7 linked regions of the Canis lupus familiaris genome follow. The protein of the gene in region 6 interacts with the protein of the main gene of each other region in a biochemical or structural test. Links are inferred from orthologs where the notes say so. Each region holds a gene or a part of one and is shown on either strand. Other genes may lie near its edges.

Region 1 (3,500 bases), on a different chromosome or scaffold from region 6:
GGCTCCATGCACCGGGAGCCCGACGTGGGATTCGATCCCGGGTGTCCAGGATCGCGCCCTGGGCCAAAGGCATGCGCCAAACCACTGCGCCACCCAGGGATCCCCTGAAGAGGTTTTTTTTAAAGATTTGCTGATGAATGTTTAAAAGATTACCTTTTTCATTACAGCTTGGGTTTAGATTTTAACAAATGATTTTTTCATAAAGTCATAAGAACAAGCCAATCTAACGACTCATCAGTAAGTAAAACTTTTAATTAAAAACAATGAGAGGCGCCTGGCCAGCTCAGTCAGTAGAGTATGCAGCTCTTGATCTGGGGATCGTAGGTTCAAGCCCCATGTTGGGTGCAGGGACTGCTTAGAAATAAAACCTTTAAAGAAAAAAAAAACTGACCAGAGTAGACATTCAGTTACAGAATTCCTAACTTCTTAGGCATGATGATGGGATTATAGTTTTCAAAAAGTCTTGGTTTTTTTAAAGACTTAATATGCTCAATTTTATGGATGAAGTAATAGCTGTCTGTCAAAATAATCCAATAGCAAACGGGTATAGCTATAATAAGATTAGTCATTTGTTGATGATAATTATGGAAGATAGTTGATGGATCCTTAGGAGTTCATTGTATATTATTCATTCTTCTGTATATGTTTAAATTTTCCCGTAATAATTTTTTAATTAGATTACTACAGTTTGGTTAAAAAGATAACTGGGATGCCTGGGTGGCTCAGCGGTTAAGCATCTGCCTTGGCTCAGGGTGTGGTCCCTGGTCCCTGGTCCTGTCTTGGGCTCCCCACAGGAAGCCTGCTTCTCCCTCTATGTTTCCGCCTCTCTGTGTGTGTCTCTCATGAATAAATAAATAAAATCTTTAGAGAAAAAAAAAAAAAAAAACAGTTAACTACTGTCAGTCTATATTGGGGGGATTAGGTGGAGGCAATACAGATGTATAGATGAAATGAGGGTAGCCTTGAATTATTTATTGTAGTCATACGTCCATCACTCTACACTTTTATGTATGAAATTCTCCATAAAAGAAAAGAAAGTAAAACTATTTAAAAAAATGAACTTGGATGAAAGGTGTAGTTTCTTGGCTAGTGTTTTAGCCTCTAAATTGTCCAAACTGATCTAATAGGGAACCTGGGTTGCTCAGTTTAGGAAAAGGCTGCTTTCCCAAGAAAAAAATGTAGAATGTCATTTTCAAGGTATGAGATTGTAAAGTCCCTGAGGGCAGAGATCTATGGGTCTTATTCTTTGTATCCTGCTACTAGCAGATATTCAGTAATATGTATTGAATTAACTAATAATAAGTTCCATAAAATCCTAGAGGATTTTACAAATGTTAAATGATTTCTGTGAGTGTGGCCAAAATTTACAATGTCTCAGCAAAATTTACTAGTGAGATTTGGGGGTGCTTGGGTGGGTGTCCGTCTCTTGATTTCAGCTCAGGTCTTGGTCTCTAGGTCGTGGGACTGGTGGGACTCCCTGCTCAGCGGGGAGTCTGCTTCCCTCCCTCTTTCCTCCCCCACCACATTCATACTCTCTCTAAAATAAATAAATCTTTGAAAAAAAAAACACAAAATAAAAACAGATTTTGGTGGTAGCCACCGAACAGATTATAAATAGCAGAAGAGGGCAGCCCCGGTGGCGCAGCGGTTTGGCGCCGCCTGCAGCCTGGGGTGTGATCCTGGAGACCCAGGATCGAGTCCCACGTCAGGCTCCCTGCATGGAGCCTGCATCTCCCTCTCCCTCTGAATAAATAAATAAAATCTTTAAAAAAAAAAAAAAATAGCAGAAGAGCAGAGGCACTTCTTCACTGCAGTGTCTTCCTAGCCTAGGCTGTATAGATCTTCACAAGCATTTGTTGAATGGCTGTTTATGCAGTTTATAGAACTGTCTCTAATGTGTGTTCTGTCTTTCCTCCATCTCTTAACTCTAGCCCCACAGCATGGAACCACAGGTTACTCTGAATGTGACTTTTAAAAATGAAACTCAAAGCTTTCTGGTTTCCGATCCAGAAAATACAACATGGGCTGATGTTGAAGCTATGGTAAGTGTTACTTTGTTTCTCCATCCTTTAAGCCTACTTTTCCCAAAAGATAGCTGTCTTTGCCTGTGTTGTTTGATAGCTCTTATATTTACCTTTTCTAGGCCTTTTGGAAAATTACTTTTGATACGGTTTCAGTATTCATATAGGAAAAATGCACCACCACTATCACCTCCCTCCAGGGCACAAATTCCTTAATTTGCAGCTGGGACTTAGGAAAGCTGTTAATTTTAGAAACAGTGTGAGAAATGAATTGGTGTGGGCCCCACCCTAATCAGCCCCAGAAAAATGTTCTCCTGCCTGAGAGCAGTTGTGTTTCTGTGGTTTGTGAATCACCCAGGGTATGATTTATGTTTTGCAAGCTGATCATTTTTTATTGCTAGGTCAGAGGTCAAGTACCTGAATGTTTTGCAGTGGGGTGCCTGGGTGGTTCAGTTGGTTAAGCATCTTAGCTTAGGTCTTGTGATGTCACGCTGGACTTGGATCCTACTTAAAAACAACAACAACAACAACAACAACAACAACAAAAAACCTTGAGCAGAAAAAGAACTACAGGTGCTTAGCAGCTCATCTGTTTTGTGTTGTTGTCAATGCCTTTCCTCCTCTTGGTTTGCCCTTTGTACTCTTCTATTTTTGTTTGGTTTGCAGTAGAGTGAATGTTTTACTTCCTGTGTAACTGTGTTTATCCATCAAAACCTTTTGGTAAAAGCCTGCTTTTATTTGGTTATGTGGAATGATAACTAAAAAGGAAAAAAAAATGATGAGGAAACGTCACAAGATGATCTGATCTAGTTCTGTCTTCCAGCAAATATTTCTTTATATTGTTGTAAATAGGTGATTATCCAGAAAGTTTGGCCTCTTTGTCAAATGACCTGAATATCAAACACAGTTCTTTTTCTAGTAGTTAGATTAACTGATAGTTTGCCTTCTTTATTGTAAATTTTATTTTTTTATTTTTTTTTTCTTTATTGTAAATTTTAAATTATGAAGGGGTAATACATGCCCATTATAAGAAGTAAGACAATCCAAACATATATAAAGAAAAAGTTACTATTCCTCTACTCCTTCCTCCTTTTCATCCACTGTTCCCACATCTCTGGGGTAACCAGTGCTAACAGCCCTGTGTAATACGTAGGCACACAGATTTCGTCCTAGGATCATACTATAAACATAATTGTGTACCTTATTTTTCCCCGAACAGTATATTATATACAGTTCTCAATCAATAGATAAGGATCTGAGCTCATCTTTTTTTTTCTTTTAAGATTTATTTATAGGACAGGAACAAGAGCACACAGATGGACAGAGGGAGAGGGAGAAGCTGACTCCCTGCTCAGGGCGGAGCTCAATCCCAGGACCCTGGGACCATGACCTGAGCTGAAGGCTGACACCGACTGAGTCACCCAGGCGTGCCCCCCCCACACACACATACACTCCAGCTCATCCTTTTTATTTTATTTT
Region 2 (3,946 bases), on a different chromosome or scaffold from region 6:
AAAAAAAAAAAACTGGGGCATGCATGAATACAGAGCTCTGAGGTCTGTTTGTTTAAATCTTTTAATCTACAACTCCCGTTTTTATCTCCTTGATAAAGATAACTACATAATCTTAGGCTGATTTGTGGAGAGGAAGGGAAACGAGCAGTATTAGACCAAAACATTCCTGCTAAAAGGTTACGAAAGGGCTTCTGGGTGGCTCAGCCGGTTAGGCGCCTGCCCGGGGTCCTGGGATCCGGCCCTATCAGCAGGGAGCCTGTAATCTCCCTCCCCCTCTGCCTGTCACTCCCCTGCTTGTGCATTCTCTCTCTAATAAGTAAATAAAAATCTTAATTTAAAAAAAAAGAAAAAAAAGCTTATGAAAGTAATCCTGCTCCCCCTGCGTAAATATTGATTTGGTGAGAGGTCAGCCCAGCTATGCATGTGCCTGAGCTGCCTGTTAGAGGCCTGAGCTGTATGTCAGAGGCCTGAGCCGCACGTCGGAGGCCTGAGCCGCACGTCGGAGGCCACCTCTCAACGCTGTTCGCCAGGACCTCATCCTTGTCCACGACACCCTAACGAACCTGTGGATCTCATTTAGTTCTGAAAAGATGGTGGTAGCCTTCAGAAGAACCCTTCAAAAGAAGCAACAGTAAAATTAAGATTCCTCACACAAATCGCTCACGGCTTCGCACGCGGGCACATTTTTAAAAACGCATTGGGAGACGCCACCAGTGGCTGAATCTGTATATTCCAGGCACTTGCAAGCATGTGATTAATCAGCAGGTATTCGCTGAAGCATCCTGGGACCTGCGCAAATCCACCTCGCTCCCACTCTCACATAATCCTATGAAAACTCGTATCCCCCGCTTTACAAAGAGGGGAAAGTTCTCAGAGAGAAGACCAATACCAAAACGGAGATTTTTTTTTTTTTTAAATAAAAAAGAACATCAAAGCCAAAGCTCTAAAACCAACAAACCCAGATTAACGCTTTTTCGAATTCTGTCAGCTAAAAGTCCGCCCGCCCGGAGAAACCTCGCGATATTCCTCGAACTACCACTCCCAGCGTGCACAGCGGCTCCGGCCCGCCCGCCGATCCCCTGGAGTCTGGAGGGGCCCCGGCATGCCTCGGGGCGCGAAAGGCAGCCTGGGAGCCGTAGTTCCGCTGGACGCCTACCGGTATTGCCAGCGCGGCAGTGGCGGCTCTCTCGGTTCCGTCCAGCCGGGTTCTGTAAGGCGAGCTGAGGCGGAGAAAAGGGCGCGGAACTGGAAGCGGGTGAGTCAGGCGCTGGCTACGCGATAAAGGGAGGCGGCACCGCGGCGCGGGGCTGAGTTGGGTAAGTGCGGCCCCTGCAGTCTCTTCAGGGAGAAGGCGAGGAGAGGGCGAGGAGGAGCCCGCGCCCGGTCCGTGCACCCGTTCTCGCCCTCGTACCCCGCCGCCATCTCCACCATGCAGTCCCGGGAAGAGGCTCCGCGCCCCCGCCGCCTGGCCAGTCCCCGCGGCGGCAGGCGGCCCAAGAGGATCTCCAAGCCCTCGGTCTCGGCTTTCTTCACGGGCCCGGAGGAGCTGAAGGACGCGGCTCACTCCGCAGCCCTCCTGGCGCAGCTCAAGTCCTTCTACGACGCGCGGCTGCTGTGCGACGTGACCATCGAGGTGGTGACGCCCGGCAGCGGGCCCGGCACCGGCCGCCTCTTCCCCTGCAACCGGAACGTGCTGGCGGCCGCGTGTCCCTACTTCAAGAGCATGTTCACGGGCGGCATGTACGAGAGCCACCAGGCGAACGTGACCATGCACGACGTGGACGCCGAGTCCTTCGAGGTGCTGGTCGACTACTGCTACACGGGCCGCGTGTCGCTGAGCGAGGCCAACGTGCAGCGCCTGTACGCGGCCTCCGACATGCTGCAGCTCGAGTACGTGCGGGAGGCCTGCGCCTCCTTCCTGGCCCGCCGCCTCGACCTGGCCAACTGCACCGCCATCCTCAAGTTCGCCGACGCCTTCGACCATCATAAGCTGCGATCCCAGGCCCAGTCCTTCATAGCCCACAATTTCAGGCAGCTCAGCCGGATGGGCTCAGTAAGGGAGGAGAGCCTGGCGGATCTGAGCTTGGCCCAGCTGCTGTCCATCCTGCGCCTGGATAGTCTAGACATCGAGAGCGAGCGGACCGTGTGTCACGTGGCCGTGCAGTGGCTGGAGGCGGCTCCCAAGGAGCGCGGACCCAGCGCTGCGGAAGTCTTCAAGTGTGTCCGCTGGACACACTTCAGAGAAGAGGATCAGGATTACCTGGAGGGGCTGCTGACCAAGCCCATTGTGAAAAAGTACTGTCTGGACCTTATCGAGGGGGCCCTGCAGATGCGCTATGGTGACAAGCTGTGCAAGGCTCTGGTGCCCAAACCAGATAGCAGCAGCAGCTGTGTTGTGCCCACAGCAGAAAACCCACCCCAGAGGCTGGGTATGTGTGCCAAGGAGATGGTGATCTTCTTTGGACATCCCCGAGATCCCTTTCTGTGCTACGACCCATACTCAGGGGACATTTACACCATGCCATCCCCTTTAACCAGCTTGGCTCACACCAAGACTGTCACTTCCTCAGCTGTCTGCGTCTCTCCAGACCATGACATCTACCTGGCCGCGCAGCCCAGGAAGGACCTCTGGGTGTACAAGCCAGCCCAGAATAGTTGGCAGCAGCTGGCCGACCGCCTGCTGTGCCGGGAGGGCATGGATGTGGCCTACCTCAATGGCTACATCTACATTTTGGGTGGGCGAGACCCCATTACCGGTGTTAAACTGAAGGAAGTGGAGTGCTACAGTGTCCAGAGAAACCAGTGGGCACTGGTGGCTCCTGTACCCCATTCCTTCTATTCGTTTGAACTAATAGTGGTTCAGAACTATCTTTATGCTGTGAACAGTAAGCGCATGCTCTACTATGACCCGGGCCACAATACATGGCTGAACTGTGCTTCTCTTAAACGTAGTGACTTTCAGGAAGCCTGTGTCTTCAATGATGAGATCTACTGTATCTGCGACATCCCGGTCATGAAGGTCTACAACCCAGCCAGGGGAGAATGGAGGCGGATTAGTAATATCCCCTTGGACTCAGAGACCCACAACTACCAGATTGTCAATCATGGCCAAAAGTTGCTCCTCATTACTTCTACCACCCCTCAGTGGAAAAAAAACCGGGTGACTGTTTATGAATACGATACTAGGGAAGACCAGTGGATTAATATAGGTACCATGTTAGGTCTTTTGCAGTTTGACTCTGGCTTTATTTGCCTCTGTGCTCGTGTTTATCCTTCCTGCCTTGAACCTGGACAGAGTTTTATCACTGAGGAAGATGATGCACGGAGTGAGTCTAGTACTGAATGGGACTTAGATGGATTCAGTGAGCTGGACTCGGAGTCAGGAAGTTCAAGTTCTTTTTCCGATGATGAAGTCTGGGTGCAGGTGGCACCTCAGGGAAATGCACAGGATCATCAGGGTTCTTTGTAAATATTTTGAAGCACTAAGATGTTTCTACTTCTATGGAATGTATCTTTAAAAGATATCCCTTCCTTTTCATGAAAAAAAAAATGTTGATTAGGACTGCAGATTTGGTTTAGAAAGGGTAACATTTGAATTACTAATGTAATGTTACAAAGTTAAACAGTCCATGAAATCAACCTATATGATAATTTATTATGCTAAAAGTCAAGATTAAAATATGCAAAAACAAACTATGTAACTGATTAGAATGCTTGGTGGTTTCTTGGTTGTTCGAGTATTTGTTGCACCAGTGGATTGTTTTGGTTAGTTTACACTGTTTATATTTTGATTATCTACGTTTGTCTTCTGTTAACGTTTTAATTCAACTTAGTGCCACAAGGAATTTAACTTTTTAATTTTTATAGTAGAAAATTGAACTAGAAATTGTTGGTAGGGTTTTGAAGGTTGTATTTTCTTTTAGAATAATGAAAGTAGTAGATTTCC
Region 3 (4,125 bases), on a different chromosome or scaffold from region 6:
AGAATATCATTCAGTGATAAGAGAAATGAGCTTTTAAGCTGGAAAAAAGAAAGACATGGAGCCACCTGAAATGACTATTGCTAAGTGAAAGAAGATGTTTTTAAAAGGCTACACATTGTAAATAATAATAATAATAATAATAATAATAATAGGCTACACATTGTCCAGTTTCAACTATACGACATCCTGGGGAAAAAGTTAAAACGAGACAGCAAGGAAAATCAGTGGTTTCTGGGCGGGCGCGGGTGGGTGGGAGGGCAGGGAGAAGGAAGCATACAGGGATGGAACACAGGGAATTTTTATGGCCGTGGGGGCTGTTCTGTAGGTCACTGTAATGGTGGGCCCGTGACCTTACACCTTCTGCAGGACCCTCGCAACTGCACCCAGGAGCGGAACCCAATCTCAACAGCCCGCTGTAACCCACGATGACCCGGTGGCACGCACCCCCGGAGGCGAGGTGTCGGCCAGAGGGGGGACCGTCAGGGGGTGCGGGGGGTGGCGGCTCCCCGTGAAACCCAGCTCGATCTTGGGGCACCGGAAACTGCTCTTAAAAACCAACTCAAAAAAAAAAAAAACCCAAAAAACAAACCCAACTCAATCGCTAAAAAAGAAAAGAAACAACAACAACAAACAAAAACACCCCCGACTTTAAATCCAGAAGACACAACGGTGGTTGCCAGGGAAGAAGGGGGGGGGATGGGCGAAAGGCGATGGAGAGGACCCTTATCCTGATGAACACCGAGCAACCCACAGAATCACTGAAATCATACACCTAAAACTAATCTTTGGGGAAAGGAAGAAAAAAAGAATGTATTACAAAAAGGCGGGGGCGCGGAAGGGGCGGCATCTCTGAGGAAAACCTGCAGGGCTCTCGATTTTTTTCCCCCCCACGGGCTCCTACATCTCAAGAGGGAGCGCTCGATGATCTCCTAAACGAGCAAAGAGAAGCTAAAGGGCACCCGACCTCCACCTCACGGGCGCCGCGAGAGTCTTTATCAGCCTAACCCGCGACTGTGCAGTCCGAGCATCCTTATTTAACCTACGCAATTCACGTCGTCGTCGTCACACGGCGCTGGGACACACCGTCGTTATTCACATTAAAAAAAAAAAATAAAAAAAAAAAACCGTCCCGAGCGCGGAGCCCAACAAGGTGGCAGATACGAAAACCAGGAGGGCTAACCCGGATTCCAGGCTCAAAGTTCTAAAGCATAAAAGCGAACGGCCGAAAATTAGCGATTTCTAATTCCGTCGGCCGAAAACAATGAACGGCCGATAAATCTCGCGATGCCTATGGAAACTACCACTCCCAGCGTGCACAGCGGCTCCGGGCCATCCGCCTATCCCCTGGAGTCTGGAGGGGCCCCGGCATGCCTCGGGGCGCGAAAGGCAGCCTGGGAGCCGTAGTTCCGCTGGACGCCTACCGGTATTGCCAGCGCGGCAGTGGCGGCTCTCTCGGTTCCGTCCAGCCGGGTTCTGTAAGGCGAGCTGAGGCGGAGAAAAGGGCGCGGAACTGGAAGCGGGTGAGTCAGGCGCTGGCTACGTGATAAAGGGAGGCGGCACTGCGGCATACGGCTGGATTAGGTAAATGGACCCGTGCTGCAGTCTCTCCGGAGACGCCGCGATCTAGCGCCCGCGCGAAGAGGGCGAGGAGGAGCCCGCGCCCGGTCCGTGCACCCGTTCTCGCCCTCGTACCCCGCCGCCATCTCCACCATGCAGTCCCGGGAAGAGGCTCCGCGTTCTCGCCGCCTGGCCAGTCCCCGCGGCGGCAAGCGGCCCAAGAGGATCCACAAGCCCACGGTCTCGGCTTTCTTCACGGGCCCGGAGGAGCTGAAGGACGCGGCTCACTCCGCAGCCCTCCTGGCGCAGCTCAAGTCCTTCTACGACGCGCGGCTGCTGTGCGACGTGACCATCGAGGTGGTGACGCCCGGCAGCGGGCCCGGCACCGGCCGCCTCTTCCCCTGCAACCGGAACGTGCTGGCGGCCGCGTGTCCCTACTTCAAGAGCATGTTCACGGGCGGCATGTACGAGAGCCACCAGGCGAACGTGACCATGCACGACGTGGACGCCGAGTCCTTCGAGGTGCTGGTCGACTACTGCTACACGGGCCGCGTGTCGCTGAGCGAGGCCAACGTGGAGCGCCTCTACGCGGCCTCCGACATGCTGCAGCTCGAGTACGTGCGGGAGGCCTGCGCCTCCTTCCTGGCCCGCCGCCTCGACCTGGCCAACTGCACCGCCATCTTCAAGTTCGCCGACGCCTTCGGCCACCGCAAGCTGCGATCCCAGGCCCAGTCCTTCATAGCCCACAATTTCAAGCAGCTCAGCCAGATGGGTTCGATTCGGGAAGAGACTCTGGCGGATCTGACCCTCGCCCAGCTGCTGTCCATCCTGCGCCTGGATAGTCTGAACATAGAGCTGGAGCAGACCGTGTGTCATGTGGCCGTGCAGTGGCTGGAGGCGGCTCCCAAGGAGCGCGGACCCAGCGCTGCGGAAGTCTTCAAGTGTGTCCGCTGGACACACTTCACTGATGAAAATAAAGATTACCTGGAGGGGCTGCTGACCAACACCATTGTGAAAAAGTACTGTCTGGACCTTATCGAGGGGGCCCTGCAGATGCGCTATGGTGACAAGCTGTGCAAGGCTCTGGCGCCCAAGCCAGAGACCAGCAGTGGCAGCTGTGGCGGCGGCAGCAGCAGCAGCGGTGGCAGTGGCGGCGGCAGCGGCAGCGGCGGCAGCGGCGGCAGCGGTGGTAGTGGGGGCAGTGGGGTTGGCAGCGGCACCAGCAGCAGCAGCAGCAGCAGCTCCTCTGTTGTACCCATAGCTGAAAACCCACCCCAGAGGCTGGGCGTGTGTGCTAAGAAGATGGTGATCTTCTTTGGACATCCTAGAGATCCCTTTCTGTGCTGTGACCCATACACCGGCGATATTTACAAAGTGCCCTCGCCTCTGACCTGCCTTGCTCACACCAGGACTGTCACCACCTTAGCTGTCTGCGTCTCTCCAGACCACGACATCTACCTGGCCGCGCAGCCCAGGAAGGACCTCTGGGTGTACAAGCCAGCCCAGAATAGTTGGCAGCAGCTGGCCGACCGCCTGCTGTGCCGGGAGGGCATGGATGTGGCCTACCTCAATGGCTACATCTACATTTTGGGTGGGCGAGACCCCATTACCGGTGTTAAGTTAAAGGAGGTGGAGTGCTACAGTGTCCAGAGAAACCAGTGGGCACTGGTGGCTCCGCTACCCCATTCCTTTATATCCTTTGATCTAATGGTCATCCAGAACTATCTTTATGCCCTCAACAGTAAGCGCATGTTCTGCTATGATCCGAGCCACAATATGTGGCTCAAGTGTGTTTCCCTCAAGCGCAATGACTTTCAGGAAGCCTGTGTCTTCAATGATGAGATCTACTGTATCTGCGACATCCCCGTCATGAAGGTCTACAACCCAGTCAGGGGGGAATGGAGGCAGATTAACAATATTCCCCTGGTGTCGGAGACCAACAACTACCGGATAATCAATCACGGCCAAAAACTGTTGCTGATCACCTCTCGCACCCCACAGTGGAAGAAGAACCGGGTGACCGTGTATGAATATGACACTAGGGGAGACCAGTGGATCAACATAGGTACCACCTTAGGCCTCTTCCAGTTTGATTCCAACTTCTTTTGCCTCTCAGCTCGTGTTTATCCTTCCTGCCTTGAACCTGGCCACAGTTTCCTCACTGAGGAAGAAGACGTGCCGAGTGAATCTAGCACCGAATGGGATTTAGGTGGATTCAGTGAGCTGGACTCTGAGTCAGGAAGTTCAAGTTCTTTATCTGATGATGATTTGTGGGTTCAGGTAGCACCTCAGTGAAATGCACAGGATCAGCAGAGTTTGTTGTAGATAGGTTGAAACACTAAGGTGTTTTTACTGCTTTGGAAAGTGTCTTAAAGAGATGCCCTTTCTCTTTGCTGGGAAAAAAACAACAACAACACAGGTTGATTGATTTCAGGTTTGGTTTAGAAAGGGTATTGTTTGAAATACTAACATAATTTAATGTTAGGGAATTTATACACAAAGAAATCAACCTATTTAATAATTTACTGTTCTAAAAGTCCAGTATTGATTTGATTGTTGGGTATGTTT
Region 4 (3,500 bases), on a different chromosome or scaffold from region 6:
TTTATTTTTTTTAAGTAAGCTTTATATCTAGCTGGGAGCTTGAACCCACGACCCTGAGATCAAGCATTGTATGTTCTACTGATTGAGCCAGCAGGGCATCCTGCTGAAATATTTTTAAGCGTATTCACAGAGTTAAACACTTAACATATAACTTGTGTTTCAGAATTTTAGATTCTGGTTTTATTCTAAATTTATTATTTTTCTGTTCCTCTGGTTTACCTTGTTCTTTGGAACCAAGGTGAGGAGGTTTGTTTGTTTGATATTTGACATCTGAGCTAGAATGGGGTCCATATTTCATACCCCATGCAGTGAATCCCCCCCGGCTTCTGAACAGCAGTGTCACAGAGCAGCCCAGAATGGTGGCGATGGAGGGGCAGGGTCCCAGGGATGGATGGCCCCTGTGATGAAGGTGATGTGATTGTAACAGGTGTTCAAGTCCTTGAGAAATCTGCTTTGAATTGAATGTTTTTGTTTCTTTGAAAACCAAAGTTTCTGGTCCATCGGAGGATCCCAGTGTGAATTTCCTCAAGAATGTCGGGGAGAGTGTGGCGGCTGCCCTGAGCCCTTTGGGTAAGTGGCTGCCTCTGTACTTTGGGAGTGGCAGCAACTCCGAGTGCTGGGTGATGGGTGGCTTTGGGCGGCTGGCCCCTGGGTTGCTGTAGAGGAATGCTAACTGCCGTGCCCTTGTAGCGTCACATAGGCCTTTGCCATAGCGCGGCACTGCAGGCCACTCATTTGAATTCCCTGACAGATTCTTGAGCTTTCCCCATGGAATGAAGTGGAATCAGAGTGGTTGGTTGGGATAATCCCAGTAGGCTGAGCTACGGGGTTGGCCTGTCAGCCTCTGACTGTTCTTCCCACAGAGGACAGTCTGCTCCTCACGTCCACCCTACAAACAGCCCAGGGTTTACTCAAGGACTTGGGTGAGTCATTAGTTGAGAGGCCATTTCTCTTTTCCTCCCTTTTGTCTTTTGCAGTACCAGCCTTTTTGGTGCTTGCCGAGTACCAGGCTTGTGCCCATGCTAGGGAGCAGGGCATGAGGGAGGCGGGAGTTCTATATGATGCCCGGTACCTGGCCCTCAGTTCAGGTGTGAAGTGTCTGGGTGGGTGAACCAAAGCAGGTACCCCCGAGTGGTGAGCCTGGCCCAAGGCTTTAGAAGGCACCTGTTGCATCTGCAGCCCTGACGGTGGTCGCTGCAGGGCTGGGCCCTGTGGCAGTGGGAGTCCATGACAAAGGTGATCTCTGGTGCAGGATTACAGCAGGTCTGTGATCTTTGCCTAGAAGAGCGCTCACCTCTGTGACTGCGGTGGCAGGAAGTGTCCGCTCAGGTGGCCTAGAAGGCCTGTCTGAAAGGATGCAGATGGGAAGGGAGGCAGGACTGCTCTTGCCTCCCACTGGATACCGTTTCAGCTGCCACTCCTCAAGGCCAGGACACAATTTCAAAGCAGCAGTGATGTCCTGGCCTTGCTGCTCCGTGAAATAGCTCAGACCATATACTGTTTTTGGGACTGGAGTCAAAGGCTCTTTAGAGAAAGTGAAAAGAGCGCTGATGTTCTTAGTGCTTTCTAAGGAGGATAAAAACGGAGCAGTGATTAGGTCATAATCGGGAGATAAGCCTATTGCTAAACCCCGGCTGCCACTCGAGATGTGGTGACGAAAGCACGAGGCTGTGTTGAACTTTGAGAGATGGTCCTCTAATGGGTTGTGATTTAGGGGCACGGGAAGCTGTGCAGAATCCCAGGTCAACATTCTGGATCCTGGTAAATTAGTCTTGGGTTGGGCCTGGGATCTGTGTGTTTTGAAGGCTTGCCAGTGACTTTGGGTCGCACTTGCTGTCCATCCTGAGGCCCATCTGCGCTGGGGGCATGTTTTAGAGCTTGACCCAAATTCCCTACACAGGACTTACGGGAATAATTTTGGCAGTGCTCAGGTGTTGTAGGATAAGGGTAAAGGCCTTTTCAGGTCTTTCAAAGTGGATGGAGTTACTTTGTACCAACTCGGGAGGAGCCTAGAGCTGTCCAGAAAAACAAGGGAAGTTTCAGTAAGTATGCCTTTGAGGGTTTCAGTTGAGGAGGGCCACTTGAGGAATTGATTCAACTCTAGAGTTATAGGTATTTTCCTTTGTTACAAGGAACTGACAGCTAGGATGACTCATCCTGCTAACTGCCTAGAAGGGACTGTTCCCAGAGCAGGGGCCCAGAGGGACAGACAGTAATACCTCCCAGAGGGCAGACTGTGTGCAGTGACTCAGCGGTTTCAAAGTAAAACCCCAAGACCTTGTTTGGTAGGTGCCATAAGAACCAGCTGAGCGGGTCTACCATGGAGTCACAGGACTGCTCTGGCTTGGGTTTGTAGTCACTGATTCCTTTACAAAGGTCCTGTCATTTGCTCACACAGAAAAGTTAGACGGTGTATGGGTGTTCACTGTACTGTTCTTCCAACTTTTTTGTTTGGTTGAACCTTTCCTTTTTTCTTTAAAGGTTTATTTCTTGAGAGAGTGCGTGTGCAGGTGTGGGGGAAGGGCAGAGGGAGAGAGAATCCCAAGCAGACTCCCAGCTGAGCACTAAGCTGGACACATGGGGTTTGAGATTAGAACCTGAGTTGAAACCAAGGGTTGGAAACTCAACCTACTGAGCCATCCAGGTGCCCCTGCTTGACCCTTTCATGATGAAAAGTTGGAGGGAGGGGGCATCTGAGTGGCTTAAACGTCTGTCTTTGGCTCAGGTCATGATCTCAGGGTCCTGGGACTGAGCCTCACATTGGGCTCCCTACTCAGTGGGGCGTCTGCTTCTCCCTCTGCCCCTCCACTTGTGTTCTCTCTTGCTCTCTCTCTCTTTCAAATAAACGAATAAATAAATCTTAAAAAAAAAAAAAAGTCGGAGAGAGGATAAAAGGAGAAAAAGGACTTAAATATTGCAGATGGGAGTATTGGTAACTAAGCCTGTCTTTATCTCTGTTTGCTCCTCACTCTACCAAAGTGACAATAAAGGGATTAAACACAAGAGTATAAAGCAACACAGACAAAGAAAAAGGAAAGTCCTAGATGACGAGGTAAGATGACCTTAAACTTTGAAAGACAAGCAGTGGATTTTGAGGGTGGTGAGCAACTGTGTGGAGGCATCAGAGGCCAGGGAATTGGGGGTGTTTGAAGACCAGTCTTCAGGATCCTGTAGCCATTACTGGCTGGTCAGCCGAATGATGGTCCCTGCCATCCCAGGCATGAGACCTGATGGTTAGATGCTGGAGGGCACAGGGCGAGGCGGCAGCCTGAGTGAGCAGTCGGTCCAGCAGGGGCTGAGGTGTCCCTGCTCGGGAGAGGCCATGCGTGCCGGGGCAATGTCCTGTAGCTCTGCCACCCAGGATCCCACTGCCTGGCCAGGTGCCCCATCACCCTCCAGAGGAAAGCGAATCATGGCCCTGGCCCCTCAGGGGGTTCCTCCTGGCAGCCTCCTCTTAATAATGCCTTGCTAGGATCAGACTGCCGTGGTTGCCAGCCATT
Region 5 (3,964 bases), on a different chromosome or scaffold from region 6:
ACTTCAGGGTTCAACAACGAATGGTCTTAAATTTAACATAACTAAATTTAATGGGGAATATAGTGCTTTGAAAAATAAATCATGTAAGTTTATTACATATGGAAACAATGCAAAAAAGAGGAAAACGACTATTAGACAAGTCTAATTTGGATTAATATTCACAAAGTTCCTTTATTTAACATTCTCTTCATAGACTTTGCTCTAACCTTCAAGAAACCTCTATGACTCTACACCTGGATAATTTCTAATGAAAGCAAACTCATTACATAGCACCTTAGATGATCATAAGAAAGATATTTATATACGGAACTTCATGTTAAATGGTATCCTAAAAAGATAGATGCAGGAAGGGATCAAATCACAATGAGGTCAGGGCCTTCGGAAAAGGTTGGGGGAGACAGGTGACAAGAAGGAAGAGAAACTTTTCTTGACTTCTTTTCTGTGCACCATAATTTGTTTTAGGTTTTCCAGGTGATCCAAGCGAACAGCTGGCAAGACCACAGTGCATGAAATCTGTGCACTGGGATCTCACCGCAGTCCTAATTTTCTTTGTAATCAGACGTAATTATAGCGAAATGTAGTGAGGAGTTTGTCCACAATCAACATCAAACAAGAATTTCCAGTAGTATCCCTCGTGCTGTAGCTACAAACGTCAAACCGGGCGGGCGTAAAACACAGCCCATAATTATAAACAACTAGAGACAGAAGCGTGGGCAGTTAGTGACACTTCAAAAGGCTGCACAAGATGCTTGGGATGTGTCTTTGGGAAATCCAGAGAAGAAATGAGTCAAATAGGATTGGGGCAAAAGCCAATTTTCGGAGGCAGATGCGGAGCGGCAGCTCTCAGCGGCTCCAGGGAAGGTGCATCCCCCGCCCCCGGCCAGCACAGACAGGCCCCGGGTCCTAACTAGGCCTTGGTCCGCGGGTCTCCGCGCCCTTTTTCCGCTCGCAGCTCGGGGGCCGGCGCTTGACTCCGCCTCCGCCTCGGCCTCGGCCTCCGCCTCCGCCTCGGCCCCGCCCCCGCCCCCGCCCCCGCCCCCGCCCCATCAGGGCCCGGCTCCGCCCACCAGCCTGGGCCGCCGCTGGCTCCGCCCACTCTCCCCGGGCGGCGGAGGGGCGGGGCTCGGCGGAGGGGCGGGGCTGGGCGGGGCTCGGCGGGGCGGGGAGGGGCGGGGCGCGGAGGCCGCGGCGCTCGCGAGCGGGAGGAGGATCCGCCGCGGACTTACGGGAAAGTTGGTCCGAGTTCCTGGAGGTTTTCCCCGGGGACTCGGGGGCTCGGCCGGCCGGTGCCCGGCTCCTGTCCTCCCTGCGTCCTTCAGCGCCCACCGGGGCCGTTCCTCTGTCGCCGGCCGCCATGGAGCAGCCGCCAGCGCCCAAGAGGTAACGCTCGCGGGGAGCCGGGAGCCGGGAGCCGGGAGCCGGGAGCCGGGAGCGGAGGGAGGGCGGGGGGGCCGGCGGCCGCGGGCGGGGGCGGCTAGGCCCGAGCTGGCGGCGACCCCTCCGCGGCGGCGGGGCCCGGGCCGGGCGCGTCGGCCGTCGCGAGGCGGGGCCGGGCCGCGGCTGCCCCCAGGCCCGGGGCGCCGCGGGGAGGCCGAGCCTGGCGTCTGCCGCGGCGGCCGGGCCTGGCGGCGTGGGGAGTCGCTGGGGAGTCGCTGGGGAGCGGCTGGGGAGCGGCTGGGGAGCGCCGGCCTCCCCGCCGCGCTCCTGGGCCTCTTCCTCCCGGCGAGTCTCGGAGCCCGGGACGCGAAACGGGGCATGCATTAGGCTGCTCGCAGCCTTCTCGGCGCTTTTGTCCAGTGTTTCTCGTGATACTGCCATTTATTTGAGAAGGCGGATTATTTGTTTCCCGTCGAAGGAATTCCGTAGGAACAGCTACGTAGTGTGTGGACCTTGAGGGTGTACCGCACTGACAGGTGTTCCTTCCTCACCGCCCTCAAGTTCAAAAGTATTTATGGATGCGAGACAGTAGGAATCCTAAATTAGAACCCCTTCCCCGCATAGTGCTTTGTTTTGTTTTCTAGCATATAGAAGTAGTGATGCTTTGGTATTTACTGTTAGTTTGATCTTTGATATATTGGAAGAGTGAGAGTACACAGTAGATACTTTTAAAAGTAGTATTTGAAATGATCAAGCTAAATCAAGGCTGCCCAGAGATATAAATTCATAATGTGCATCTTTTTTCCCCCCAAGAATGAATCAACGTCATTTAACTGGTGTTGTTTAAAACATGTAATCTCAGTCTTTCATTTGTAATTTATAAAATAAGAGTACTAATCTTTCTCCCAGAGAGTGCTGTTGTGAAGATTAAGGAGTTCCTGTGTTCTGATACTTAGAGATCTTTAGACGAAAGGTGATATATTCAGGAACATGGAATAATTAAAAAGGTAGGAACTTTGTGAGCTGTTGTGAATCGTGTGACTAGACATGTGAGCCTTGAGGCCTGGAAACCATCTGTTCAGGTGAAAAAAGGTGGGTGTGTGGAAGGGCGTCCAAAAGAGACTTGTTATCAGAGCCCTTGATTTTTGTCTGGTATTTTGTATTGAATTCTCGTATTGATTGGGCACCCAGTTTTAGTATCTTAGAAGAAAATTGGAAACTTTTTTTCTTCTCTGTTTTGGAAGGACTGTAAGGGGGCCACCTCTGAGATGATGCCCAAAGGTCAAGTTGAACAACTCCAAATTGAAGTAGAAGCTCTATTCATTCATTGGCTGTAAATTATCGGTTTCTTTATAGGTATAAGAGATCCTCTGGCCTTGCAGGGGCTCTAGAAAACCTAGAAGGGCCAGGGGGAGATGTGGGTGGTATATATAACCATTTCATGGTCATTTATACTTTACAAAGTGATGCTTGCACTCCAACAGGCTCATTTTTAGTTCTCTTCAGACAGACTTCGTTGTTCCAGGAAGGCATTTCTGGAAAGCAAGCTATGTGACATTAAGCCCATATATTTGAATGTCACTTAAATTTTTTTCATAGCATTTTCATTTTCATAATATCATCATAGCAACCCTATTACGTAAGTTTGATTACAGGAAGTAATCCTGTTTTGTAGCTGAGGACACAAAGAGTTTGCTCCATGGAAGGCTATGACAGGGATTACTGAAAGTGAGTTTTTGTGTCCTCCCTATTGATTATTACCTTCTAATAATAAAATATGCCATTTTTGAGGTCATTTTTTCCCCCAGGAAATTTGTATATGCATTCCTTTATTTTATTGTCATAAGAAAGAGGAATCATGGCTCTGCAGCTTATTACGCTAGTTCTAAATTTAATTTCTTCATCTGTAAAGTGTGTTACGGGGATTAGAATAGGTCATGTGTAAAAGCACTTAGCACAGTGCTCCATAATGTGTTGAACGACGCTAAATGTTGGTTTATTTTTTCCTTATTAAATGAAACTCAGAGAGGTTAAATAATTTGGTCAAGTGGAGGAGTTGCCAGAACCCTGAATCTGATTGGCTGCAAAGGCTGTGAACCCTCTCATTGTGTACAGTGATACCTCTTTTTAAAAACACTTCTTTTAGCCTTCCATGGTGTGGTGGCCATGTCTTTGTACGATCCTGTGGGCCCTCTGCTTGTTCTTTTCCTAATCCCTGTAAGAATGTTGCTTTGCTTTTCTGCCTTGCATAGGAGCACTTCCTTAGGGCTCAGACATTTTTACATGGTCACATTTATGTTGCTGATGTTCAAGTCTGTATGACCAGCAGGTGTGTTCAGTTGGAATATTTGATATTTTTATGCAGATCCATTCTTTCATTATTCTTTCTAGTTTGTCACTAAGTCCTATTGAATTCTCCATCAAGAAGTCTAGATTCATTTTCTTTTCTGTTTTTCATTTTTGATACTACTACTCCATACCTGGGTTTTATGACCGTCATACTTGATTTACAGCAATGCCTTCCAACTAGGTACTTTAGGGCAGTGGTTTAAAAAATTTTTTAGCAGGAAGGCTGTGTTTGGAGTAG
Region 6 (3,996 bases):
CATGCACTGGAGAGGACGGCAGGATTTGCTCCGACCCTAAGCAGCCAAACATCTCCTGGGAGGCGTAGGTCATGTACACAAAGCCGTCCTCATCTTTGTAGTCCCTGTAGACTTCTGCCATGGTCATACTCATGCTGACCAGGCTCCGATTGTTCACCAGCAAATAAAAGGCTTCAGTGGCCCCAAGGACCAGGCGGCTCCTGGGTGGGGAGGAGTGGGGGGCAGGAAGGGAAAACTTTAACTGGGCATGGAATGGGCCCCTGACCCAAGCCCTGGCTTACCTCTGTCTGTCCACGGCAAACATGTCTACCCAAGGAGCCCACCTCTCCACTCTAGTGCATTGTCTTCAAACTTGACAATTACCCGGGAGGGCTTGTTGAAAGCAGACACCTGCACTCCACACCAAGAGTAAGGCCATCCTATCATTAACTAGGAGACATACCAACACAAAAATGCTAAGCCCTCTTTGCTCTCAAACTCAAGGTATGTACAGCCCCAGACATACAAAAGTGATTACAGTATCTCCCAGCATCTCATTGTTAAATAGCTTTGGAATGAAATGTTGAAAGGTTACTACCCTTTCCTCCCTCTGCCATCTCTCCCCCCACCTCAAGGAGATAGAGAAGCAGCTTAGTTCATTTGGACAGGCTATAATGTCAAGGTCAATCTGAGGCCTGGTTCATCCTGGAGTGGAGGACAACATGACAGCGTAGACACTCAGGTAAGGGATCTGTCTCCCCTGCAGCACACCTCCATTTGCTCTACTTGGAGAGGTAGGCATAGCTTGCCCACTCTGGTCTCAGAGATTTGAACTTTCAGGTGAGCTAGGTCCATGTGGTTTTGGGACACAGGTGGCTAGAAATTGATTAATTTTATAACCAGATAACCTCTCCCAAAATAACCCTGAAGATTTCAGCTTTGATAATTGCATGGTTGTCTGGGTAAAAGAAGTGTTCTACAACGGGAATGGATGGAGCTGGGGACCAGTGCATTGCCTTCAGCTCTGCAGGAAACACTCCACACAGTCCACACACCCACCTCCTGTCCTTTGCTATACTATCTTTCAACGAGGGTTGTGGCATCCTCTGGAGGAAGAGGTTCTGGGGAGAGATTTTTTTTTTTTTTTGTCTATTCTGTTCACTGCTTTAAAGACAGCCTAGAAAGAATCCAGAACATCACTGATGCTCAATAAACATTCTGGAGCATTAAATGTTGGCATAGAGAGGGGATTAGGGCTGGTAGAAAACAAAGGATGACCTCTGTCTGGGAAGGAGAAAAAGAATGGCTCTCAGAACTCAGAGAGTTGTTTCTAAGGGAGGTGGGTGAGGGGTGGTCACTCTTTGTTACATCAACATGTTGGGATATAATCCTAACACTGGTCATCCCTTAGGCACTTCCATTCACACGGGGCCAACATAAGCTCCCCAAGGAGAGGATATCAAGATCCTCTTAAATAACTCATCAAGACAAACAAGACAGAGACAAACACACACTCATAATGAATTCTTAAAGAAAAAGCAGCTATGCAGCTTGCAAGGGCTGGCCTTTCTGGACTTTTCAACCCCATGAAGAATTACCCTCTGGTAATTACTCTCAGATCATTTTTGTTGAATCCATGTGTCAAGTGACAGTACTTACCCCTCTTAAGCTTTGAAAATAGCCCCATTTTCTTTGCTGTGCCTTAACCTAAAGGAGGAACATGTCTGGGGACACCTTTCCTGTCCTCCCTCCCAGTGAAGGGAGTGCCTGCCTTTGGAAGAGGTCCTCATTCCTCCAGGGCACAGACACTTTAAAGGTACCGTGTGTCTGCTGGGAAAATGAAGACTGAGTGTTTTTTTTTTTTTTTTTTTTTAAGACTGAGTTTTAAACAGCTTGTGGAAGAACAGATCTTTTGGACTAGTCTCAGAGCCAGGACTACTTCCAAAACTTCTTAGAAAAGTTGGCGGCTCTTACTCTCTTTAAACTTGCTATCTGTGGGATTTTCCTCGCCTGTTTAAGTCAAATTACTTCTCAGAGCATCTTTTCTGGGCCCTACAGAATCTAAGAGGTGAGTCGCAAAGGAAATCTTTTCCCTCTCTTACAGATTCTCCCCCTCCTCAAAACCAAACCAATTAACAAAGCAAACAGAAAAAGCCTCACCTAGCACACTCCCCAGCGTGCACATTGTCACCTACCGGATGATGCTGAGGAACTGGATCATGGTTAGCTCCTGTGGGACCAGGAACTTGGTCTTGTCCAGTAGGGGCAGGAACTTCTCCCTGGGGTAGCGCTCCACTATCACCTGTCGAGAGGGTCAACCCCCAAGAATGTAACTCAGAGGTCTCAGTATCTTAGAAAATTAGAACAGGGAGAGACAGTGGGGTTTTTTTGTTTTGTTTTGTTTTCTTCTTCTTATTTTTTCTTTTTTTCTCTCAAGGAACAGAGTATACTCCTTTTCAAAAAGCGTAATGCGGTCTTACCGGGATCTTGTTTGGGAACTTTGCTCGGATTCCGGCAACTTCCTCTTGTCTGGTTGCTGTGAATATTTCAAAGATAAAAGAATAAGTAAACAGCAGGAGAAGTCTGTATCCTCTTCCCTCTCCCTAGCAACCCAGACAGCTACCCTTAGAATTTTACCTAAACTCTTCCTCTGCTTGAAGGGTCTGAGGCTTTGGGTTTTCTGTGGTGTCTGCATTTTGCTCAACAGCTGTGTCTGTGTCTGACTTAAAAAAAAAAAAAATCCCACAACCAGGACCTAACTCATTCCTCAGCTGCTTCCAAACCGCCCCGCAGGAGCCTAAAGGAGGCCCTTATGTAGGGCTGTGTGACATCAGGCTTCCCCAACCCTCCTTCCCCTCCCCCTCCCTGGGTAGGAGGAGGTCAGCCCAGAGTAGGAGATGGAACAACAGCCACTTGCTTGCTTCTCAGACAAAGTCACTCTGCTCATGGCCAGTTCAAAATGTTTCTTTGCTGGAGAAATTAGGGTTCACAATAAAATCAGTGGCTGGGTCACCAAGCAGCCTATGTCTGGGATGAGGACCCTGGAGATACCAAATAGCCATTTGGTAGGGACAATCTTTTTATTTTTTATTTTTTTTATTTTTTTATTTTTCATGAGAAACATAGAGAGAGAGGCAGAGATATAGGCAGAGGGAGAAGCAGGATCCTAGTGGGGAGCCCGATGCTTGACTCGATCCCAGAACTCCAGGATCATGCGCTGAGCCGAAGGCAGATAGATGCTCAACTGTTGAGCCACCCACCTGTCCCTTCTAGGCACAATCTTGTGCTTTAGTAGGAGCCTATCTTGAAGGTGGGCCAGGATGGGGCTGCCCCGCGCTGAACTGGGCTGCCTTACTCCCGCAGCAGTCCTTCACAGCCAGTTTTCACAGAAAGAAACCTATGATCAGAAAGGTAAAGGCATTTCCCCAAAGTCATACAGCCAGTAAGAGAGGCAGTTGGGATTAAAACTCAGATTTGGTACAAAGTAGGGCACACTCCAGTATATGCTGCCATTTTATTTTCTCTGCCATAAAGGGGGGAAGGAAGCCCAGTGACCCCCAAAACCTCCCTTCAAGAGATAAGAAATAGAGGCCCATAGAGGTTAACTGGTTTGCCTGGGATCCAAGGGCTGATAAGAGGTAAGACACAGGTCTCCCAGGTCTCAGCCTCCAGGGTTTTGCTTCCAGAAATGTATGCACACCCAGGCAAACCTCTGCACTCCGAGTGAGCAGAGGGTTTACATTTCCCACACTGATTTCCCGGCAGAATCACTCAACAGTGAAGAGTCTTCAAATGAACAGTGTGACATAAAGGAAGGTGATTTTACATTCTCTATGTTTGCTTCATGAATCAGTGTGAATCTCAGGGCTTTGGCTAATCATCAGGAATGGACATCCAGTGATTAAATGATAGCATCACTGACAAGTGGCTTCATCCTCTGACTCTCCCTCTGATGCCCTTCAGAAAGGGCACACATGCTCATGGGGCTGCGATAATGGGGAGCAAGTGTGTACTTTG
Region 7 (4,065 bases), on a different chromosome or scaffold from region 6:
AAAATACAACTTGGGTGTAGTACCATGTGGTGTAAACAACTGAACTATTTTACTTTTTACTTTCCTATGAATGAGCCAGTATATATTTATTACTGGAGTTCCAGCTATAAAATTCAGGTAAGGGGTTTAAATATACCCTAGAGTATTATTTAAAAATAAATTTGTTTCTTTCAAATAGAATACCAAGCTTGGTCTATGACATTTAAGGGAGAAATTAAAATATTAAACTTTTATTACCTAGTAAACTGAAAATAAAGTAAAGGTTAAATAAATACAAAGCAGAAAAAATATATATACAAAATCACAACCTCTAGGAGGACAAATAGTCTACTGTTCTCTACTGTGGGAGCTTTATCAGCAGTAGTAAGTAATTCCACCTCTAGGGCAAGGCTAGTACTCAAAAATGTAAACAAGTATGTACTTTGTTTATACAAAGAAATATGCAGCATGGTTTGTATTTCTTTATAGGTATCAAACAGCTAAATGGATTGTTTCAGCACACCAGTAGGGGCCAGCAAAGAGCTCTTAGAGTTTTCAGAACAGATTTGGCATTGAGATATGTTTATTTGATGTGTTAAATCCTTTTTAGACTTCTTTACTTACCACAACACTCTCTTAAGTGAATGAATTGCAGAGACAGTGGAATAAAATATCTTGTGTGCTCAAACTATATTGGGGTATAGTTTTTCTGTCTAATCTGCATATATTTTTAATGGAATGTTTGCTTAGGCTATTTCTTGGCAGAGTTTTAATAGTCAAAATATAAATGGCATCATTTAAAGACTGTACTACTTGGCTGGAAAAGGCCTTAAAATTACAGAAGAAAATGCTTGGTGACAGCTTCTCTTAAATTTTTCTTTCTCAGACCTATGCTCAATTTTTCAATAGTATTACTAGGCTAATTTTGTGTTTCTATCCTTAAGCTTTCACTTTTTATAAGTAGTGTTTTGGAAGCTAAAATATTTATCTATTTGATTTAATGCTTGAGTTTTAATTCACCCCAGAGTTTTGGTACTTCCAAATTTATACAACTGTTTGAATTCACTCATTAAAAAAAAAATTAACAGAATATATGCCTTTCTACATTAACTAACTTGACAAGATTCCTAGTTTGTCTACTGTTTGGAAATTCAATCCTTGATTTGATACTCAATTACATGGGGTTTCATTCCTACCAACTTCCTGTAATTTTATCCCTATGGGTAAAAATATTAGTGGTCAAACTCTGCTGGAGAAAGTATAGACGCCGTGATTCACATAGTTAAATGTTCATTTAGTAGAGCAGGAGTGAAAAAATACTGTTTCAACTTGAAATGCTAGAAGATTGTTGTTCTTGTGTTACTCATTCATGCAAATTGGAGAAGGTATAATTGAAACAAGGTTGGCAGTGTTTGAGGCAGTGCGCTGCAGCTGAGCTCAGCTTAAAGGGCGCTGGAAATCAAGTGCTTTGTAAGTGAAGGCATTTTGACTACAAGCGATTCAAAATATTTGGAAACGTCAGTCTCAGGAATGGGTCGTCTTTTTCTTTCTATGATATCTGGTATCTAAGGTTTTACTTAGGATAAAGACTACTGCTTAAGAGCTCTTTTAGGCACCACAAATGATTTTTTCCTTCGATGCAGTGCAGCTGCTTCTAGCCTGTCTACCGACAGAGATCTTTGTTATGACTTTCAGCCCTTAACATGTTTGGAAATGAGAACAAATGGCACAAAGCTTACGATTGCACTTTGCAGCCAGAAGAAGCAATACTTATCCTTTGTCAGAAACCTCCGGAGATGATTTGGATAGCAATGTTCACATGTGCTTCAAAAGACCAACACGGATTTCAACGTCTAACGTTGTTCAAATGAAGCTGACTCCTAGACAGACTGCACTAGCTCCGTTGATACAGGAAAACGTTAACTCTCAGGAAAGATCATCTGTTCCTTCACCTGAAAATGTTAATAAAAAGAGCAGCTGTCTGCAGATTTCACTACAACCAACAAGGTACAGTGGATGTCTTCAGTCTGGCAATGTCTTAGCTGATGGTGATGATGCTTCATTTACATCTGTCTTTAAGGATGGCATTTACAACAATGCTGTGGCTGAGAATGAGCTGAATGCTGTGAATGATGGTAACCTTGTAAGCAGTTCGGCCATTCACAGTGGGAGCCTCAGTAACTTTTCCACCAGTGAGAATGGGTCTTACAGCAGCAATGGTAGTGATTATGGATCATGCACAAGTATCACAAGTGGTGGTTCCTACACAAACAGTATCATCAGTGACAGCAGTGGTTATACTTTTCCACCAACTGATGATACTTTTTTTGGTGGAAATTTATCTTCTGACAGCACCTCCAATAGAAGTGTGCCAAACAGGAATACTACTCCATGTGACATTTTTTCAAGAAGTCCAAGTACCGTTCCTTTTGTCCAGGATGACTTGGAGCATGGACTAGAAATTATGAAATTGCCAGTGACCAGGAACTCGAAAATTCCACTAAAACGTTGTTCATCCTTAGTCATTTTTCCTAGGAGTCCTTTAAATACCCCACCGACTTCTCCAACAAGTACAGACGTTCTTCCAAGCAAAGGATCCTATCAAACCTCACACCAATTTATTATTTCTCCTAGTGAAATTGCCCACAGTGAAGATGGTAGTAGCACTAAGGGATTTCTTTCAACAGCTGTCAATGGACTTCGGTTATCTAAAACAATCTGTACTCCCGGAGAAGTGAGAGACATACGACCACTTCACAGGAAGGGTTCATTACAAAAGAAAATTGTTATTGCGAATGATAGTCTGAATCAGAATGTCCGTGAAAAGTCGTCTGAAGGGTTTTCTTGTGTTTCAGTGCATTTCACCCAACAAAAAGCAACTACATTAGATTGTGAAACAGCAAGTGGTGATTGCAAACCAGAGATGTCAGAAATCAAGCTTAATTCTCATTCAGAGTGCATTAAGCTTATGCAGAGGACATCTGCATGTTTACCATCCTCTCAACACCTAGATTACCAAATAAATATCAATGGACAGTTGGAAAGACCAAATTTACAGATAAACAAAAACCATGCTATTTTACAGAGAAGTGTTTCATTGGGAGGAACTTACCCAAATGTTTCCTGTTTATCCAGCCTCAAGCACAATTGTTCTAAGGGGGGACCATCACAATTACTCATAAAATTTGCACCTGGAAATGAAGATAAAGTTGATAACTTATCAAGAGACAGTAACAGAGATTTCACAAATGAACTATCTAATTCTTTAAAGCATTCTTGTAAGGTAAGTTTCCTTTGGTCTTGGTAATTGTTAATTTATACTAGAAAAGCTTTATGAACTATTTGGTTAAAATATATTAGAACTTAGCAAGTGTTTTATAGTCATAATCTTTGTATTTGTAAATCTGAGGAAACTTCAATAGTTTTTCACTCTCTGTTATTTTACTAGTGTCAAAAATATGCATTAAAAAAAAAACTCTCTAAAATGATTTAAACCATGAAACATTTCTGTAGCATGAAAACAAGCTTTAAATAATAATTTATTTCATAATATTTTTACCTTGGTATATTTTTTTCTTCAAGTAATATAGCATTTTAATGTCTAACTCCATATTTTATTCCTACTTTCAAAAATGTTCATTTAGCATTCTCCCCTCCTTAATCAATGTGAAATAGGTAAAATATAGAATACTTATTTAAAATACTAAACAATAAAAAGCCTACATAAAAATGTGAAAATCTTTTCACAAATGAACACAGAGAAAATGTTTCTCTAAAATATGCGTATTTAGTAGAACATTGATAAAAACTATTATGCTGCTGTTTTAAAGCACAGGAAAAATAACTGGCATTTGCATTTGTATATACCCTTAACCACAGGAATTTTGTTTCCACCCAGTTTTCCTTTAGCTACCAGTTAAGATTGCCTTCTAAAATGTAACTTAGTCTTTCAACAGTATTGAATTCTAATTTTATATTTTTTGAATTTGGTTTCAATTGCTAGGCATTTCCCAAATACTCCTAGTTACCTTATTAATTTGTTATTTTGGTAATTTTGTTTATTAGTCATTTAACTCTAATGTATCT

Evidence for each region.
Region 1: the proteins of MAP1LC3C (region 6) and NBR1 form a complex in vitro, tested with the Homo sapiens proteins (2 studies listed by IntAct). The link is inferred for Canis lupus familiaris from reciprocal best matches to the Homo sapiens genes MAP1LC3C and NBR1.
Region 2: the proteins of MAP1LC3C (region 6) and KBTBD7 form a complex in vitro, tested with the Homo sapiens proteins (2 studies listed by BioGRID and IntAct, with this or other methods). The link is inferred for Canis lupus familiaris from reciprocal best matches to the Homo sapiens genes MAP1LC3C and KBTBD7.
Region 3: the proteins of MAP1LC3C (region 6) and KBTBD6 form a complex in vitro, tested with the Homo sapiens proteins (2 studies listed by BioGRID and IntAct, with this or other methods). The link is inferred for Canis lupus familiaris from reciprocal best matches to the Homo sapiens genes MAP1LC3C and KBTBD6.
Region 4: the proteins of MAP1LC3C (region 6) and SQSTM1 form a complex in vitro, tested with the Homo sapiens proteins (6 studies listed by BioGRID and IntAct, with this or other methods). The link is inferred for Canis lupus familiaris from reciprocal best matches to the Homo sapiens genes MAP1LC3C and SQSTM1.
Region 5: the proteins of MAP1LC3C (region 6) and STK3 form a complex in vitro, tested with the Homo sapiens proteins (2 studies listed by BioGRID and IntAct). The link is inferred for Canis lupus familiaris from reciprocal best matches to the Homo sapiens genes MAP1LC3C and STK3.
Region 7: the proteins of MAP1LC3C (region 6) and NEDD4 form a complex in vitro, tested with the Homo sapiens proteins (2 studies listed by BioGRID and IntAct). The link is inferred for Canis lupus familiaris from reciprocal best matches to the Homo sapiens genes MAP1LC3C and NEDD4.

Annotation. Positions count from the first base shown.
Region 1 is NC_049230.1:19,825,279-19,828,778, reverse strand, and holds part of NBR1 (next to BRCA1 gene 1 protein), read left to right. Parts: intron 1-1,931; 5' UTR 1,932-1,940; coding exon 1,941-2,042; intron 2,043-3,500. UniProt on the Homo sapiens protein: Ubiquitin-binding autophagy adapter that participates in different processes including host defense or intracellular homeostasis.
Region 2 is NC_049243.1:9,372,852-9,376,797, forward strand, and holds the start of KBTBD7 (kelch repeat and BTB domain-containing protein 7), read left to right. Parts: upstream 1-1,146; 5' UTR 1,147-1,429; coding exon 1,430-3,469; 3' UTR 3,470-3,946. UniProt on the Homo sapiens protein: As part of the CUL3(KBTBD6/7) E3 ubiquitin ligase complex functions as a substrate adapter for the RAC1 guanine exchange factor (GEF) TIAM1, mediating its 'Lys-48' ubiquitination and proteasomal degradation.
Region 3 is NC_049243.1:9,450,821-9,454,945, forward strand, and holds the start of KBTBD6 (kelch repeat and BTB domain-containing protein 6), read left to right. Parts: upstream 1-1,325; 5' UTR 1,326-1,710; coding exon 1,711-3,852; 3' UTR 3,853-4,125. UniProt on the Homo sapiens protein: As part of the CUL3(KBTBD6/7) E3 ubiquitin ligase complex functions as a substrate adapter for the RAC1 guanine exchange factor (GEF) TIAM1, mediating its 'Lys-48' ubiquitination and proteasomal degradation.
Region 4 is NC_049232.1:2,129,045-2,132,544, reverse strand, and holds part of SQSTM1 (sequestosome-1), read left to right. Parts: intron 1-489; coding exon 490-570; intron 571-863; coding exon 864-923; intron 924-3,500. UniProt on the Homo sapiens protein: Molecular adapter required for selective macroautophagy (aggrephagy) by acting as a bridge between polyubiquitinated proteins and autophagosomes.
Region 5 is NC_049234.1:1,025,045-1,029,008, reverse strand, and holds the start of STK3 (serine/threonine-protein kinase 3), read left to right. Parts: upstream 1-1,164; 5' UTR 1,165-1,354; coding exon 1,355-1,380; intron 1,381-3,964. UniProt on the Homo sapiens protein: Stress-activated, pro-apoptotic kinase which, following caspase-cleavage, enters the nucleus and induces chromatin condensation followed by internucleosomal DNA fragmentation.
Region 6 is NC_049228.1:33,301,758-33,305,753, forward strand, and holds the start of MAP1LC3C (microtubule-associated proteins 1A/1B light chain 3C), read right to left. Parts: upstream 2,801-3,996; 5' UTR 2,675-2,800; coding exon 2,617-2,674; intron 2,516-2,616; coding exon 2,460-2,515; intron 2,282-2,459; coding exon 2,175-2,281; intron 201-2,174; coding exon 1-200.
Region 7 is NC_049251.1:21,503,088-21,507,152, reverse strand, and holds the start of NEDD4 (E3 ubiquitin-protein ligase NEDD4), read left to right. Parts: upstream 1-1,265; 5' UTR 1,266-1,702; coding exon 1,703-3,262; intron 3,263-4,065. UniProt on the Homo sapiens protein: E3 ubiquitin-protein ligase which accepts ubiquitin from an E2 ubiquitin-conjugating enzyme in the form of a thioester and then directly transfers the ubiquitin to targeted substrates. Specifically ubiquitinates 'Lys-63' in target proteins.